Rattus norvegicus: one gene and its partner. The protein of the gene in region 1 binds, or shares a complex with, the protein of each later gene. Links are inferred from orthologs where the notes say so. Each region holds a gene or a part of one and is shown on either strand. Other genes may lie near its edges.

Region 1 (4,527 bases):
AGTTGCCCCAAGCTTATGAGCCGGCACGTGGATGCGTGGCATCAGATCTAGGTCCTTTAGATTAGGTCCAGCGCTTTTAACCAGCCCAGGCGTGGCTTTAATGGTTTTATTTCTAGCACTTGGGAGACTGAGGTAGGAAGATTAACTCCAGTTTGTGACCAGCCTGGACTACATAGTGAGGGCAGAGTTCTACAATAGCATGGGTAATAGACTAAGCTCTCTGTGAACTTGTAAGGACCTGCCAAAAATTCTTGAGTCCCCGTGGACAGTGGGGACTTCCTATAGATATTGAGAAATTGCCTCACGGTCAGTGCCATAGATAACCGGTTCTTTTCGCTTGCTCTGTGTGAAGCAGCCATATACCACAGAACATTCTTTTACGGATAGTGCAGACATTAGGACAGTGTCTTACTGCTGTAGTCAAGCAAACCAAAAGCAAGTCCATGAGGAAAGCATTTATTTCACCTTACATTTCATTAAGCCCATCTGAAGGGAAGTCAGGGCAGGAACTCAGGCAGAAGCCCTGGAGGAGCCTTACATAATGTTTGCTCTCCATGGTTTAGCCTGCTTCCTTATACATCCCAGGACCACCTTCTCAGAGGTGGCACCCACCCACAGTGGGCTGGACCTCAATCACTAAGATAGCACTGCACTGACTGACTGCCTACAGGGCAATCTTTTAGAGGCAATCGGGGTTCACACTGTCTCAGGACTTGGTATTTGCCTCAACTTAAAAACTAGCCAGCACTGAAAGTAAGATGCGCTACAATAGGCCGGATGTGTTTTCTCACTATTAGTCTTGAGTATCCATTATATGCAAGAGAAACCTTCCTTAGAGCCGGTGTATATCATTCTCCATTACCCTTTGATCCAGGGGAAACCTGATGGGTAGAGTGAAACTAGGGATAGTCACACCTGGTGTAAATTTGGCATTGGGGCAACAACCATCTAGGCTCAGAGGGTATGTGGCACAAGCTCTTCTCCTCACCTCTGGTGTGACACCCACCCCTGGTTTTTACACATCTTTCCTCAGGTGTGAACAACCACTGGGCTTTTCACCTATGGAATAAAGTGTGAAACCCCAGGAAGTGCAGCATTTTCCCATCTTATGCCCCAAAAGAAAGTTTGGAGATGGGAGGGTGTGATCAGAAAAGTGCGCCGTCCTAAAATCAAAAAGTCTTGGAGTTGACACCACGGCCTGACGGCCTCAGGCCACGCGCGTTGCCTGTACTGCAGAGCGCATTACCCTACAACCTCAGGTCCTCTCTCCTTCTGGTGGCAACAGGGCTTTCCGCGGGGCCGCGCCAGACTTTTTGAGACTGTTGATTGGCCGTAGTCCGGCCACCCAACAGCCAATCACGCAGAGGAAAGGTGACATCACTAGTTCTCCTCCCATCCCCCTACCCCAAACTTCTCTACTCTGGTTTACCAGCACCAACAACCACGTGGGGGAGGGGTAAGAGAGTAGAACCGGTGAGGTCATTGCGCCGCCCCAGCCGTTGCTGATTGGCTGCGGAGCTCGCGGGTGTCGGTTGGCTGCTCTTTGCACCTCCCCCTCGTGCCGCTTCAGCCGCCACTGCGAGGAGCCACTGGCGACGCCAGAGCCAGGAATCCGGGTGAGTCGGGGCCCTGGGTCTAAGATGTTCCCAGTGTCCAGCGAGACTCAGGAGGAGCTGTCCTTTCCGACTTTTTCTCTTCGCCCGGGTTCTTTGGAGCTCCATGCACTCCGTCACATGGGAGTTGTAGTCTGCCTTATGCTTTCGACTACGGGCCGGATACAGAAGACGACTACTATTCCCAGCAGGCATTGCGATCAGCTGGTCAACAAACCCTAGGGCCACGCCTCCCGAGCTTGTTCATTGGAGGTCATATCCTTTAGCCCCGCCTCCCTTCATTTCATTGGTTACTGTCCCACACAGGGGCTGGTTTCTTGCCTAACATGCATGGTGATTGGGTACTGTAACTGTCATTCGGCACATAAATAGTCTGTTAATTGGTTAAAGCAGATGTCCATTACTTGTTGTAAGGTAGAGTTCTAGGCAGATCAGGCAGTCGTAGGCTTAGGTTGGTGTCGGTCCCGGAGGGAGGCCGGTCTTGAAATTTGGCCCCGCCTCCTGGCGCTGCCGGAAGAGCGCAATTGGTGGTAGCGAGTGTCGCTTGCGGACAATAGGCGGAGCCGACTAGACTGAGAATATCTATTGGCCTAGGTTGGCGCCGGTCACCGGGGTTGTGGCCGTTTATTGGCTGGTTGCTCCAGCTGTTGCAGGTCCATTCACCATTTTGTGTGTTGGAGTAAAAAAAAAAGGGAGAATCGAGAGGGAGAGCCGGAGGGGGGGCGGGGAGGGACCGGACCGGACTGAGCCGGGGCCACGGCCCCCCGCCCCGAAACCCTGCGGAGCCCGAGGTGAAGGGCGGGGCCAGGGCTGACACTGCGTGGGGGTGGAGGGGAGCTGGAGGCCGAGAGGGGACAGGTGGCAGGGACGGGAAGGGGTACAGGGCAAAAGAGGTGGGTGGAATGGTGTGGGAAGGGGTGACAGAGTGGAGGAAGTGGTAGGAAGTGGGGAGTGACAGAAAAGAAGTGACTGGGGGAGAGTGCTGATAACAGGAATGGAGGGGTAACAGGACCAGATCAGGGTGACAGGGAGAGGAAGGGGACGGAGTTGGAGGGGGTGATGAAGAGAGGCGATGGCAGAGGTGTCAGATTTGGAGGTCTAGAGATGGCTGACAGAAGAGTGACTGGGAGGAATAGGTGATAGAAATAAATGGGGTGACCAGCAGGGGTAACTGGAGGGGGCCTAGTATCTGAGGAAATAAGGTAGAGGTGGTGACAAGATGGGAGAGAGTGGCAGAGAAGATGGTGTCAGGAGGGTGGATGGAAGTAGAGGGTATGAGACCCTAAAGGACATGGGGGTGGCCTCAGCTTCAGAAGTTTAACGTTCTGAAAGGGAGGTGAGGGCCCACAGGACCCTGGGTAGTAGTTAGCTATGGTGCACAGGAAGCGAGTAGGCCCCAAGAAAGAGAGGTTTGGCTCTGGGGTAAAGAGACCAATCCAGGTAACAGGGTTAAGAGATGTTGGTTGGTGTACTTGTCGGCCCTGGGTGGGGTCTAAAGGTTTATGTTTGGGCATTGTTTGTACCAGATCTCAGGCTCCAGAATGGTGTCCTCGCAAGTCAGTGGAGAGATGGCAGTGGAGTCTGCTTAGCTCCACAGCACTAGGGTGCTACTCCCAGGCCCTTCAGAATCTGCCTATGAGAACCCCAGATTGTCCCACAGAAGAAGGCCTCAAGTTAGAGAGCATGAGATCTGGGATCCCAGTCAGCCTGAAAACTGTCAGAGGGGTCTCTGATTGTCTTTGGGGTAATCTAGGACAACTCATGTTTGGCTTCTCAAGTTTTCCAAGTCACTTTGGAGTAAAGTTTTTAGGGGTTTTGTTTTGCCTTTTTTTTTTTCCCCTTCTTTTCTCAGGGCAGTGCGAAAGGGGGCGGGCAGAGTGACTGTTCAGGAAGTGGGGGAGGTTGCCTTGCTGGGCTTGTCCGGCTGTCTGTGCCCTCGTCCTTCTTGTCCCCACCTGGAGCTGGAGAGCATATTTGGGTATCTGAGGGTGCTGACCATTTCAGACACCCTGCCCAGCCTGCCCAGTCTGGGTGAGGAGACATGCAGGCCACAAGTGGGGGCTGGGCTTGCAGGCATCACGCTGGGTGCTGTTGGGGGAAGGGGAAGGCTCCCGTGTAGTGGGACAGAGAAACCCTGGGGTGTGCAGTTCTGTGTCCCACTGTGTGATGACGTGTGCTGCATTTGTGCGCGTGCCTGTGCTCATGTACAGTCCTGTGGCTGTGCTGGTATGAGCTCTTGCCACAAACGTGCCCCTGCCTGCTCCCTGCCAGGACCTGAGAAGATGGTTGTACCTGGCAGACCTGGGATACTGAGCAGAGTGGGCAACCATCCCTAGGGATTCTCAGCTGCCTACTCCTTCCCACAGTATCTGGCCATGCATGACTGCCTGGAGGGGTGGAGGGAAAGTAGAGGGAGGAGAGAGGCTTATATCTCAGCCATGTCACCTCCCTTTCTGTGGCTTGGTGCTTATGTGTGTCTCTGTGTGCATTTGTGTATGTGCACTATGTGATGTGAGAGCAAGCAAGCATGATGTGTAGATCACATGATGGGCAGCACACAGCAGTGGTTAGGAGCTCAGATTCTGGAGCCCTAGAGCACCTGGGTTCAGGTCCCCCCACCCCTTGCTTTGTAGGTGAATGATTGTAATCAAAGCACTTTTGTCTCTCTGCACCTTGCTTGATAGTAGCACTCACCTCTTAGGGCTGTTGGGCGGGGAAATTAGGCAACTTAGCTGAGGGCTTGGGACAGTGTGATTGCTCCGCAGTGTGAACCCTCAGGGATCCTCACACTCCTTGGGGGCACCTGGAACCTGTGTGTGCATACTGCATGTCCCCTGCAGAAGGAGCAGGGAGCCAAGGTTGTATATGCTCAGGAGACCCAGGTGCCAGTCTGCGTCTGAATGCTTGCCATAAC
Region 2 (3,809 bases), on another chromosome or scaffold:
GTATAGGGTATGTGTGCTTAGAGCTTGAAAGCAGGGCTTCATATAGGACATTTACTTTGTTTTTTCTTTTATACATTTATTTATTTATTATATGTGTGTGTGTATGTGCGCGTGCGTGTGCGCGTGCGTGTGCGTGCGTGCGTGTATGTGTGTGTGTGTGTGTGTGTGTGTGTGTGTGTGTGCAAATCAGAGAACAACCTGCCCATTCTCTCCTTCCAACATGTGGTCCCCCAGGGACTCACTCTGTCAGGAGTGGTAGTGATCACCTTTTCCCACTGAGCCATCCCTCAACCAAATGTTTGATTCTAAATTGATGTTCTTGAAGAGGACCAGAATTTGGTTCCCAAGACCTACATTAGGTGATTCACAACTGTCTGTCTATAACTCCAGCTTCAGAGGATCCCATTCCTGACCTAAGGCCTCACAGGCACCTAAATACAGATTGTGCACACACACACACACACACACACACACACACACACACACACACACACACACACACACACGTCTATCTCTCTCTCTCTCTCTATCTATCTATCTATCTATCTATCTATCTATCTATCTATCTATCTATCTATCTCCCAAATGATGCCCTCCAACCCCTTCACAGAGTTCCTCCCTCTTCCGTCCACTCCTTTACCTCCGAGAGGGCACCTCTGCCCCATATCTCCCACCCTAGTGCATCAAGTCTCTGCAGGATTAGGTGCATCCTTTCCCCCTGAGGCCAGACAAGGTAGCCCTCTGCTACATATGTGCCAGGGAATTGGACCAGCCCATGTATGCTCTTTGGTTGGTGGCTCAGTCTCTGGGAGTTCTCAGAAGTTCAGGTTAGCTGACACTGTTAGTCTTCCTGTGGGGTTGCAATCTCCTTGAGAGCCTTCAATCCTTCCCCTAACTCTTCCATAGGGATCCCCAACCTCCATCCAATGTTTGTCTGTGGGTATGTGCATCTGCCTCAGTCAGCTGCTAGGTAGGCTCCTGTCGTAATTAGGCCAGTTGCCTCCACTCCCCTTAGTTGTTATGCTGTGTGTCCATCAGTGGATTCGCCCGTCTGTGCCAGAACGCCTGAGTTCTGACACACACCTCTATTTGGACGTGGTGCTATGCACCTGTGCAGCAGAGGCAGGAGGACTACATCATACTTGGGGGTAATCTCCAGTGTAGAAAAATGTGGAACAACTTCCTTTCTGCCATCTTGTCCTGCCACAGCTTCTCAGCCCCTTTCTCTGACTTTTTTTTTTTTTTTAAAGTATGTGTGTGCCTAAATGCCATAGCACATACATGGAGATGAGAGGATATCTTTTACCATGTGGGTTCCAAAGATTGAACTTGTGTTGTCAAGCTTGGTGGCAAGCACCTTTCTTTATCCACTGTCTTTGTGGTCTCCATAGTTTTATTTAAATACAGTGGAGCTATGGTGATTCAGAATAGCCAGATACCTATATATTAAAGTTGTTAGCATGCTATATATTGGATAGATACTTTTGCTGTTGTTCTTAACTTTTTTCCCCCTTTCAACTCACAGAAACGATAGAAAATTCCCAAGGAGCCTACCAAGAGGCATTTGATATAAGCAAGAAAGAGATGCAACCTACACATCCGATCCGCCTGGGGCTGGCTCTTAACTTTTCTGTATTTTACTATGAGATCCTTAATAATCCCGAGCTTGCCTGCACACTGGCTAAAACGGTGAGATCTGTTGAGTTCATGCCTCTTTATAAGGGTGTTTAAGAAACTAAGTACATTAACTTTTAGGTATTTGGGTGCTCAAGGGAGGCCATTTTTATGTGTGTTAGACACAGTTTCTTCATTAGTGTCTCTTCCCCATACCTACCTCCCAGCCCCTAAATAGTTCTCTCACTGTGATTCTAAATAGTAATGTCTGACTGAAAAGCCTAGAGGGCAAAGTAGTAAAAGAAGTAAAAATAACTTTAGGCAGGAAACATCAAATGCTGGAAAGGAGTGCCTGCCAAGTTTGGGCAGTAGAAGCCTGTATCACCCTCCCCTGGTGTCTTAGAAGGGCAGTGTAACTACATTAGCTCTTGTAAGAATATGTAAGTGTTGTTAATATACTGTGTATCTTGTGAAAGAACCAACAAGTGTTTATGTAAATACTTAGAGTGAGTTTCACGATATAGTAATTCTCTTTATTTTATTTTATTTTATTTTTTTTTAAGAAGCAGAGCAAGTATTGCTTTAGTAAGGAAGGGTGAGGCCAGAACTCTCCCAAATGGGAGGAACCTGAAGGAAGAACCTTCACAAAATCTTAAACTAGATCTCCAAGGGACTACTTCCCTAGTGTTACCATAATGTGGTGGTACACAGGGTTGTATTTGCAGACTGGCTAGCTTCTGTTCCTGAATTGACTATATTACTCGCTGTTTAACTTTACCAGGCTTTTGATGAAGCCATCGCCGAGCTTGATACACTGAATGAAGACTCCTACAAAGACAGCACCCTCATCATGCAGTTGCTTAGAGACAACTTAACAGTAAGCTATTCCGTGTTGTATGTCTGTTTTCAGAAACAACAGTAACTTCATTTTGATGTTCATGCCTTTTGGAAGCAGGTATAGAAAAGCTATAGCCTCTTTGTTGTTATTTTGGGGACAAGGTTTTCTCTCTCTCTCTTTTTTTTTTTTTTTTTTTTTTTTTTCCCTTTTTTCTTTTTTTCGGAGCTGGGGACCGAACCCAGGGCCTTGTGCTCGCTAGGCAAGCACTCTACCGCTGAGCTAAATCCCCAACTCCCAAGGTTTTCTCTTGTGTAGCCTTGGCTGTCCAGGAACTCACTCTGTGGACCAGGCTGGCTTCAAACTCACAGAGACCAGCTTGCTCTGCCTCCCAAGTGCTGGGGTTAAAGGTGTGCACTAATACTGTATAACTAGAGCTCCATAGTCTCTTACAAAATTTGGAGAAGTGTCTTCATGGTGAAGAGGTATTTTATCAAACCTTTCTATGAAAGTTATAGGAACACAGTGTTATCATTGCTATTTGACTTAGTTGAACACAATAACAGTTAATGTAGAGAGCTTGTATAATTCTAATATTTCCTTTCTTTGAGTAAATTAGGAATAACAAATTAGGGATTCTGTATGTGTTAGAATCTCCTTATTTTACCAAAAGTTTACGTGGGAGGGCTAGAGATGATTGAGTGGTTAGGAACATCGATTGCTCTCTCAGAGGACCTAGGTTTGAGTCTCAGTGCCCACATAGTGGTTCACAATGGACAAACTCCAGTCCTAAGGGATCCAACACCCTCTTTCTGGCCCATGGACACTGTACATACACAGTATTCAGGCAGCATGCCTGTGCCTACAAAGGTTTAAAAAATTAAGTTGTTTTTGGACACTTGATAGAGGGTTTTCTTGTTTGTAGTCTATTGCACTGTGGAAACATGATGACTGAAAAGCATTGGGAAGAGAAGAATTTATTACAGTTTTTTCAGAATTGATTTATACTCCACCGTAGAGGGAAGTCAGGAGCTAGGCGGTGGTGGTGCACACCTTTCATTTCAGCACTTAGGAGACAGAGGCAAGAAGATCTCTGAGTTTGATTGAGGTCAGCCTGGTCTATAAAATGAGTTCCGAGATAGCCAGGACTACACAGAGAAACCCTGTCTCAGAAGAAGAGGGTAGTCAGAGCAGGAACTGAAGCAGGGGCCATGGAGGAGTGCTGCTTTTACTGGCTTGTTTCCATGACGTGCTCAGCCTTCTTCCTTTTATTACTCAGAAGCACATGCTCAGGAGTGACACTTCCCATGCTGAAGCTAGGTCCTCCCAGGCCAATCACGAGTCAAGAAATGCCCCAAAG

What was found.
Region 2: the proteins of Cic (region 1) and Ywhaq are in contact, whole or in part, in a crystal structure (PDB 6KZG), measured with the Homo sapiens proteins. The link is inferred for Rattus norvegicus from reciprocal best matches to the Homo sapiens genes CIC and YWHAQ. Residues at the interface, in NP_001291744.1 of Homo sapiens: Arg1207, Ser1208, Met1209, Ser1210, Glu1211, Thr1212, Gly1213, Thr1214; in NP_006817.1 of Homo sapiens: Lys49, Arg56, Lys120, Arg127, Tyr128, Gly169, Leu172, Asn173, Val176, Tyr179, Glu180, Leu216, Ile217, Leu220, Asp223, Asn224, Leu227, Trp228.

Annotation. Positions count from the first base shown.
Region 1 is NC_086019.1:89,980,215-89,984,741, forward strand, and holds the start of Cic (protein capicua homolog 1), read left to right. Parts: upstream 1-1,528; 5' UTR 1,529-1,616; exon of another isoform or gene 1,617-2,404; intron 2,405-4,527. UniProt on the Homo sapiens protein: Transcriptional repressor which plays a role in development of the central nervous system (CNS). In concert with ATXN1 and ATXN1L, involved in brain development.
Region 2 is NC_086024.1:46,667,128-46,670,936, reverse strand, and holds part of Ywhaq (14-3-3 protein theta), read left to right. Parts: intron 1-1,525; coding exon 1,526-1,689; intron 1,690-2,395; coding exon 2,396-2,491; intron 2,492-3,809. UniProt on the Homo sapiens protein: Adapter protein implicated in the regulation of a large spectrum of both general and specialized signaling pathways. Binds to a large number of partners, usually by recognition of a phosphoserine or phosphothreonine motif.